Arabidopsis thaliana: one gene and its partner. The protein of the gene in region 1 purifies or fractionates together with the protein of each later gene. This does not show direct contact. Each region holds a gene or a part of one and is shown on either strand. Other genes may lie near its edges.

The links.
Region 2: the proteins of BXL2 (region 1) and AT4G28440 fractionate together in Arabidopsis thaliana (co-fractionation; one large-scale study listed by BioGRID). This does not show direct contact.

The regions. Positions count from the first base shown.
Region 1 is NC_003070.9:562,463-568,543, forward strand, and holds BXL2 (beta-xylosidase 2), read left to right. Parts: upstream 1-1,555; 5' UTR 1,556-1,830; coding exon 1,831-2,235; intron 2,236-2,970; coding exon 2,971-3,249; intron 3,250-3,321; coding exon 3,322-3,491; intron 3,492-3,580; coding exon 3,581-3,678; intron 3,679-3,763; coding exon 3,764-5,118; 3' UTR 5,119-5,309; downstream 5,310-6,081.
Region 2 is NC_003075.7:14,058,228-14,062,111, forward strand, and holds AT4G28440 (Nucleic acid-binding, OB-fold-like protein), read left to right. Parts: upstream 1-1,668; 5' UTR 1,669-1,826; coding exon 1,827-2,094; intron 2,095-2,549; coding exon 2,550-2,743; 3' UTR 2,744-3,159; downstream 3,160-3,884. Other genes in the region: AT4G28430 (Reticulon family protein), read left to right, coding at 1-156, 237-390, 483-557, 641-782, 886-955, 1,067-1,132, 1,217-1,545; AT4G28450 (WD repeat and SOF domain-containing protein 1), read right to left, coding at 3,497-3,659, 3,766-3,854.

The DNA of each region.
Region 1 (6,081 bases):
AGTGAGTGTGATAGGGATTTGATTAGATGGTTGTGAGATTTGGTGGTAGCAAGACCAACACGAGTCACATCTTAGCATTATATATTCGGGATTACGATTCTTTGATATGGCTCTAGAGATCATAGCTAGTAGTACAAAGACACACAAGACTGTATGTTTTTTGGTGGGACACAAAACAGATGGGTTAGGATTAAAGTTACTACTTTAATTTGTTCATGAAATTGGTCGGGACTCTTCTTTTCAGTACCCTTATATTCCATTGACTACTTTCATTTCTTCTTATGATCAATGCGTTACTCAAGGGTTTTCCCACTCAAAACTTAGAACATACAAATTCTGTGGTGCTAATTAATTAAGTTACAGTCCGTGGCGTTTTGTTTTTAATTATATGGTAAAAATAAAGTTTTGGAAGTTTTATTGCTGATTAGGTGTTTCCCAAGGATCGCAATAACCAATAATGAGTTATTACTTTAGTAGTAATAATTTCATAATGAACAGTTGAACACCGAAGATATGAGCCAATAGAGTGTGAGATTTGGGACACCGAAGTAACAAGAGCACAAGTTGCTGTCTGTTTCCGACACACCATGCCCATACTTATACTACTATTTCTTTTTTCAATTACTTATTACGTTGCCTTCTTCTTCGTGACCTCTTAGTCGCTCGAATAAAATTTAATTTATCCTTTCCTATTCTCACGGTTTTTATCTGCCTTTATTCACGGTTTTGTTTTTCAAATTGTGGTCATCTTTTATTATTCAAAATATGTATAAAAGGATCATACAAACCATATGCAATGAAAACGGTAAATCCAGACTAAACTTTTCTAAAAAATCAAATTAAACACTATATATATTGACTAAAACATTAATATTCAACCAGAAAAAGATTCTTACAAGGGTAATTAAACAAATTAAACAGTATGTATTGACTAAAACATTAATACTCAACCAGAAAAGATTCGATCTATACTTGTTCTAACATTGTATATAATTGATTATCCGCAAAATTTGTTCCACATCCATTTACTCTGCTCAAAGGATGCAATAGTACAAAAAAATTACTCCTCTATTATAAATATTCGCATATCTACATCTATATAAGAAATGATTCGTGCAATTCCACTTCACCGGCCACATGTATGTAAGAAAAAAGAACAAAAATAAAATAAAGATCGTTAAGGAATTTAGAATGGTGTGACATCTCGTACAAGCCAAGTTAATTTGTTTACCTGTCAAGTGGGAAACAAAAAGTTCTGTTAGAAAAAAAGAAAACTAATTGCAAAACAGATTGCTTCAGATATAAACCAACATTTTTCTTTCTTACGATGAAAACCTAACATAATAAAACGAAATTCAAGTAACTAATTATATGATTAACAAAGTCGAATTATAATCAAATCTATTTAACTGCACATAAAAAAGTCTCTTAAGAACCAGGACCCACATAGTGACAACTGTCTTCCAACACTTTCTAACCATTTACATATCCAAAATGGCAGGTTAGTTCACTCATCAAATCTCTCAACTTGTCTTCTCCTCAAATTAAATGTAAATTTAAATATAAAACCAATTCTTTATATCTAAATATGTTTGGTTTCGAAATATTCATATATATTAAAGAAAAATGATATTTCCTTGATAGAGTAAAGAAAATTCACGAAGAGAGCTCTACTCATTATCTTTATCATACCATTATCATTGCCTCTCTATATAAACATAACACGCAAACTTCACTCTCACAAGTCTTTCATCACATTTCCATTTTTCTCTCTTCCATAAAACCCAAAAGAAACTAGGAAGAGGAGTAAATAATATTTGTTTTAAAGAAATGATTCTCCACAAAATGGCGTTCTTGGCCGTTATTCTCTTCTTCTTGATAAGCAGCAGCAGCGTTTGCGTTCATAGCCGTGAAACGTTTGCTTGCGATACAAAGGACGCAGCAACAGCTACACTGAGATTCTGCCAGCTTTCAGTTCCTATACCGGAGAGAGTCAGAGATTTGATCGGACGGTTGACATTGGCCGAGAAAGTGAGCTTGTTAGGGAACACTGCGGCGGCGATACCACGTCTAGGAATCAAAGGGTACGAGTGGTGGTCGGAGGCTTTACACGGCGTTTCAAATGTGGGACCCGGTACTAAGTTCGGTGGGGTTTACCCTGCAGCCACCAGTTTCCCTCAAGTCATCACCACCGTTGCTTCTTTCAATGCCTCCTTGTGGGAATCCATCGGACGGGTCAGATTATTTCTTTCTCTCTCTTTTATCCATTAAGTTAAAAACACCTATTTCAATTATTTTTGTGTGTGCCCCCGATCTAACTACTAAATACTTTTCACTATTTTCTCTGTGAAAATGACGTAAGTAATAATGTTAATTATATATATATACAGCTCACATTTATTATGTATTTAATTACCTCTAGTGCGATTTATATGTAAAACACTTTTACTGTATCGAAATATTCTCTTTTATCGGAACTAATATTCGTTTTTTGTTTTTTATTTTTAAAATAACTTATATACAATTGTGATATTTCGACACTTCTCATGTTCTGATTTTGTCCGGTACTTCATGCAAATAAACATACGCACGAATCTCTTATTAGCCTACCGCTATTGAAAGTAACTTTTCTTAAATAAAACTAATTTATTTAAAGTAACTTACATTCTGCTCTTGGTTTCGTTTTTATGCCATCTCCAATTTACGACAAAGATCTGATTCTAACAATTTTTAACTAATTTGAATACTTAATGATATTTATAGTTAATCAGATAACATATTAAAAAATAACACTGCTCTATTTTAATATTTATTAAAAAGGTGAAATGAATATGAACTTATCGTACGCTTTTCGCTAAAATCGAGGCAAGCCGCAAGTTGCATACGATGCTCTCAACTTGCAACATTAGTCATGCGCATTTTATCATTAACAATTAACCACGACTAAGTTACGCTCTTGGGGATTCGCAGGTTGTGTCAAATGAGGCCAGGGCCATGTACAACGGTGGAGTTGGTGGGCTTACGTATTGGAGCCCAAACGTTAACATATTGAGGGACCCACGTTGGGGACGTGGACAGGAAACTCCCGGTGAAGATCCAGTAGTAGCCGGTAAATACGCAGCGAGCTACGTCAGAGGGTTACAGGGAAACGACCGTAGCCGGTTAAAAGTAGCTGCTTGTTGCAAACATTTCACAGCTTACGATCTCGATAACTGGAACGGCGTCGACAGATTCCATTTCAACGCTAAGGTTTAATTTAATCTTTTATTCTTTGTCTTGCTTCAACTTCTTTCTTTGTTCTCACGTGTTTGGTTTTGATAGGTAAGCAAGCAAGACATAGAAGACACGTTCGACGTACCGTTCCGTATGTGTGTTAAAGAAGGTAACGTTGCGAGCATTATGTGTTCGTACAATCAAGTTAATGGTGTTCCTACATGTGCTGATCCTAATCTCCTCAAGAAGACCATACGCAATCAATGGGGTCTCAACGGGTAAGATCACGCCACGTCAGCTCAAAACATTCCGTATATGTAATTTAGAATTTCGTTGACCGTTGATTTTTTTTTTTTTCTGCAAACAGGTATATCGTGTCTGATTGTGACTCTGTCGGTGTTTTGTACGATACCCAACATTACACTGGTACTCCTGAAGAAGCTGCCGCTGATTCCATCAAAGCTGGTAAATAAAATTATTGATTTTTAGTAGAAAATTAAAATTGAATATTTTTCCTTAAACTAACCAATCTTGTGTGTTGATTGTGTAGGCTTGGATTTAGATTGTGGGCCATTTCTAGGAGCCCATACAATCGATGCGGTGAAGAAAAACTTGTTGCGTGAGTCCGATGTTGATAATGCCTTAATCAACACGCTAACAGTCCAAATGAGACTAGGAATGTTTGATGGCGATATAGCGGCTCAACCGTACGGACACCTTGGACCGGCACACGTGTGTACACCGGTTCACAAAGGACTAGCTCTCGAAGCAGCTCAACAAGGAATCGTCCTACTCAAAAATCACGGCTCGTCTCTACCTCTCTCAAGCCAACGTCACCGAACTGTCGCCGTAATTGGACCTAATTCAGACGCTACGGTCACAATGATTGGTAATTATGCAGGGGTTGCTTGTGGATATACCAGTCCGGTTCAAGGTATTACCGGTTATGCTCGAACCATTCATCAAAAGGGTTGCGTGGACGTACACTGCATGGATGATAGATTGTTCGATGCCGCGGTTGAAGCGGCTCGTGGAGCTGATGCGACGGTTCTTGTGATGGGTTTGGATCAGTCTATTGAAGCGGAGTTCAAGGACAGAAACAGTTTGCTTTTGCCTGGGAAACAACAAGAGCTTGTCTCTAGAGTTGCTAAGGCCGCTAAAGGCCCAGTTATCTTAGTATTGATGTCTGGTGGGCCTATCGATATATCTTTTGCTGAGAAGGATCGGAAAATTCCAGCGATTGTTTGGGCCGGGTATCCGGGTCAAGAAGGTGGTACCGCAATCGCCGATATCTTATTCGGCAGTGCTAATCCCGGAGGAAAGCTTCCGATGACTTGGTATCCGCAAGATTATTTAACCAATTTACCAATGACAGAAATGTCGATGCGGCCGGTCCATTCGAAGCGGATCCCGGGTCGGACTTACCGGTTCTACGACGGTCCAGTTGTTTACCCGTTCGGGCATGGTTTGAGTTACACGCGCTTTACTCACAACATAGCCGACGCGCCAAAAGTGATTCCTATAGCTGTTCGTGGAAGAAACGGCACCGTTTCAGGGAAATCAATCCGTGTGACGCACGCTAGGTGTGATCGTCTCTCTCTCGGAGTCCACGTGGAAGTTACTAACGTTGGCTCGAGAGATGGGACGCACACAATGCTTGTGTTCTCGGCTCCGCCGGGTGGAGAATGGGCTCCGAAGAAACAGCTGGTTGCTTTTGAGAGAGTACACGTGGCGGTTGGGGAGAAGAAGCGTGTGCAGGTGAATATACACGTGTGTAAGTATTTAAGTGTAGTGGACCGAGCCGGGAACCGAAGGATTCCGATCGGTGATCATGGGATTCATATTGGAGATGAGAGTCATACGGTGTCGCTTCAAGCTTCTACTCTTGGAGTCATCAAGTCTTGACTCTGTTTTTTTCTTTTCACTTTTCTTGTTGTTCCCAAAATATTTTTAAGAGATTTTAATGTTTCTAACGAAACGAATTTGAAAAAGGAAATACAAAACTAGAAGAAAATCTGTTTCTTATAATTCAAAAGATGTATTTAAAATTGAATTGTATGGCCTCGGATTTTTTAAAATAAAGGTTGTTTTCGGAATTCTTTTCTTGTTCATTAACAATGTAAAGCACAAATACAAAAGTAGAAGAAAATTTTCAACTAGTTTATGGATGTGTAACATATTCTCCTCTCTTTTTTTTCTATCTACTTCTATATGTTCCTCTTATTACTATTTTAACACCATTCAAACCTTTAATTTACATGGATCCTATTCCTATGTATATTGTACACACATATAATCTACTTAGATTTAATTTTTGAAAAATGTATTAGTTGGATCTATGTATTGCAGATTCTGTGGACTACTCTACGGAAATATATACACAAGTATATGATAATACAAACACTTTTGCTAATTATGTCTAAAGATTGTCATTAATCTTCTTAGAGTATGATGAAAGAAATCTATAAAAAATACAAATGAGCCTTGTGTTTTTGTCAACATACACATGTGCATTCATTGATAGACATTTGGTAAATCCAAAAGCAAAGTGCATTAATTTAAACAGAACTTTTAACAAAAACAAAAACAAGTAACGCTAGTCTACGACGGGGCAATAAACAAATAGTAGAAAACACGAGTCTTTTTGGCTTCGAGAGAAAGACTTTGTTTTTTCTTGCATAAACGTTACGATAATTTCAAATTGTCAATCCTACTTTTAAGTAGAATTTGTAATCACTCAATGGTCGTCAATACATTGTCCACATTCGACCTATTGAAGGAAGATTAATTTAGCTATAAGCTTTCAAGGGCAAATCCGTCAGTCTAGCTTTCTTTTATCTACCTCTGTTATCAAAAGCCCTCTCGTAT
Region 2 (3,884 bases), on another chromosome or scaffold:
CGATGGTAGATACAAAGGAAAATACGGAGCCAATTGTTGTCGTGACCGATGAAAAGAAACAAAACCAGAGGAAACAGAAGAAGTTGGGTCGATCTAAGAAGGAGAAGCACAGTTCTGTTCCTCTGTTAGCTTCTCCTAGTCCATCTTCAGATCAACGTATGTCCTTCCTCTGTCTATTAGCTCATTCGATTTCACTTTCGTGCTCTAATAATTGCTCAATGATTTGTGTAATTCAGCTCAAGATGTTTGTCAAGGTGATTTAGAGCGGATTAGAGAGAATATAAGCGATTTGATTATGTGGAGAGATGTTGCGAAATCAACACTTTGGTTTGGTTTTGGCTGTATATGTTTCCTATCTACTTGCTTTGCTGCTAAAGGATTTAACTTTAGGTAACATTGATTTCTCTGTCAAGGTTTATCTTTCTAGCTTTAATCATTTTTCACATTCATGAGTTGATAATGAAACTTTGTGTGGTTTGAAGTGTTTTCTCAGCGATCTCCTATCTTGGACTTTTGTTTCTTGGGGTATCGTTCTTGTCAAATACTCTTCGCCAAAGGTACAAACTTTTAAGGTCCCAGTACATAAATATCAGCTTGAACTGCAGTTGACTGAAGTTTTGATCCATTTGTTACCATAAAGGGTTACTGAAGAAGCGCGGAGAGAGCTTAAATTGAGTGAAGATGATGTATTACGAATAGCTAGACGAATGCTTCCCATCACCAATTTAGCAATTTCAAAGACGAGTGAGCTTTTCTCTGGTGAACCAGCAATGACACTCAAAGTAGAATTTACAAAACTTTGCCATTCTCATAAAACTTCTCTCCAATGAATGTGACTCTCACGTTGATTTTGTCCTTCTTACACTGTTTTTACTTTGATTTCAGGTGGCACCTTTTGTTCTAATGGGAGCTGAGTATGGTTACCTCATAACATTGTGGAGATTATGTGCTTTTGGTATGATTGTTGAAACACTATATGTCAACATTACTCCAAAGAAAGCTAAACTGTTTTCTTTAGTTGTATCTAGTAGAATTGACACAGAGTATGCATTGTTTCTTTAAACAGGTTTCTTCCTTAGCTTCACTATTCCAAAGCTATATTCATGTTACGCAAGTCAGCTTAACCAAAAAGGTAAACTCTATTAACAGACTGCGTAGCTCTTTGATGGTTCCAATGATTGACACTAAGGATTCTTTGATCTTTGCTTATGTGTAGTTGAGTGTGCACAAAGGAGATTTGTTGAAGCTTGGGGAGTTTGCACACACAAGAAATTCGTAGCAGGCTCTGCAGTTACTGCATTCTGGAATCTAACTTCTCTCAAGACCCGTTTTATTGCAGTGTTTATCATAGTAGTAGTAATCAGATACAGACGACAGAATCTACAGTTAGATTCCGAGGATGAGGAGGAGAAGAAGCAACAAGAAAAAACTCACCCGGAGCAACAAAAATCGCCGGAGGATAAGTCAACTTCACCGCGGTCAGCAGAAGAAGAGCAAGCGTTGGTGCTAGTTGCAGAAACCAAAGCACCAAAGAAGCTTTATTAGTCTAGTCACTAGTGTCTTTTCAGTATCCACCTGTGTAATAATATTTCACATTTACGTAATAATAAATAAAGAGCAGTCATTAATATCAAATAATAAATTGACACGTGACAAGCTCATGAAACTGTGAGAAGCAGGTGATAAAAACTCTCGTCCGTCTTGGGAGAGAGCACATCGTCGTCTTTTCTTTATAAACCCTAAATTCCCATTTCTCTTCTCCAAAAGTTTTATCGATTCCACCAAATTAGGGCGAACGCGAAATCTGGGTATTGTAATTTGAAGCGATGGCGACGACTGGAACTGCTGCGGTTGCGACGGGAACTTCGACGGTGAAGAGAAAACCGGTGTTTGTGAAGGTGGAACAGCTAAAGCCTGGAACGACTGGTCACACGTTGACTGTTAAAGTCATTGAGGCTAATATCGTGGTTCCTGTTACCCGGAAGACTCGTCCAGCGAGTTCTCTGAGTCGTCCTTCTCAGCCTAGTCGAATCGTTGAGTGTCTCATCGGTGACGAAACTGGGTGTATCCTCTTCACTGCTCGTAACGATCAAGGTTATTGTTTCTCCACTTTTCTCTTGCTTTATGGATATAGAAATGGTGTCTTCGTAGTTTATTAGAGTGATAAGTCTTATCCTTTGTTGTTCTCTCGTTTGTCTTAATCAATTTCTATTTTGAGCAAATGGTAAATGTGTTTCTATTAGTACTATTTGGTAAATGATGTATCAGTTATTGTATGTGTATTTAGTGATGTCTTTGTGAAATTGAAGCTTGAAAGAATCTTGGCCTTGAGGGTCTGTAACTCTGTATAGTCTTACCTATAGTGATGATGAAACTTGCTTGGTTAGATGTTGAGTTATGTTCAATTGAATGGTCTACATTATCCCAAAACTTTCATAGCTTTTCATAATGTGAAGTTTTGTTATACCAGTTTTCGTGCAATTGATGTGGCTACTGATTAGCTCTAATGATGTTATTGGTTTTTTTTGTGTGTGTGTGTGTGTGTATAGTTGATCTTATGAAGCCGGGTGCTACGGTGATACTGCGCAATTCAAGGATAGACATGTTCAAGGGTACAATGAGGCTAGGAGTTGATAAATGGGGACGCATCGAAGCCACTGGAGCCGCGTCTTTCACTGTCAAGGAGGATAACAATCTGTCTCTCGTTGAGTATGAACTGATCAATGTTGGTGGTGATCAGTGATCTTTTAGTATGTTTATGGAGGTTAACCCCTGAGAGTGTTGGGTTCTGATTTTTCTACCGTGAAGGTCTTTGATTTAGATGATGAAGATTGTATGACTGGTCCAGAGTTGCTTGTAGGAATATGCTTCTTCTTTTTTACCCTAAAATATGCGGTCATGATCTTGCTCTGGAGAACTATTGAGCCTGCGGTAATGGCGTAATGCAATTGTTCCTTTTAATTTGTGTTGATGTAAGTTAAAGACCATTGAGAGCTTGCTTGTGCACTATCTAATACAGTAAAAATAAGTTTTTCTTTCTTAAACTTTACTAATGTCTTTGTTTTTTCATTAATTACTATTTGATGTACACTATTGTACCCTCTCGGTTACAGAGAGTTTTGCCCAACTTTTTACATCGAAAGCATCTCATCCTTGATTAATGTCATTGTTAAGACAAATTGTAAGTGCATAAAATTCATCGACGGATCATAGAACCATTGTCTAGTTAAGTCGGTCTAATTCCAAACTTTATAAATCTTTGAAATCAGAATGTTACTTTGAAGATCAGCTTTGTAACACCAAAAACGAATAGTTAATGAACACAATACGTAGTGAAGAGAAAAAAGAAAACGAAATGGGTAATAACTTAATGGCATAAAGAAAGGCTTACAACACAGCAAAAATGTTCATGTTCCTAATCTTACCCTCACTATACCAATACAATCCTCTCCACGTATCATCATCCTTGAAAGGAACAAACGGAGAAAGAGTAGAGTCACTCCACTTCTTTGATGATCTTTCTTTTGCGCAGAGGTGCTGTGACCACTGTTCCTGGAGCACTGTGAGCTTTCCTTCGTGCTTCTTTTCTTCTCTTCGAATCGTTCACAGTTCGAATGATACCCATCGCTTTGTATATTGGTTTTGGCAAGTGCCTGTGTCTGTAATTCACAATAACCAAAACGTTACCATGTTACTATAGTTATCTTTTGACAATCTCCAGAGTTAAAGCATGGGATAAAACCACAGTTTTCATTGGTCATTTACCTCACAATGCGCTTAACCTCAGAAAGATGCTTGTACCGGTTCTTCACAGCCTCGTTGTACTCATGCTTCTTTTGTTCCCTTGGAAGAATCTGCAGCACAACACACCAATTAACATTGAC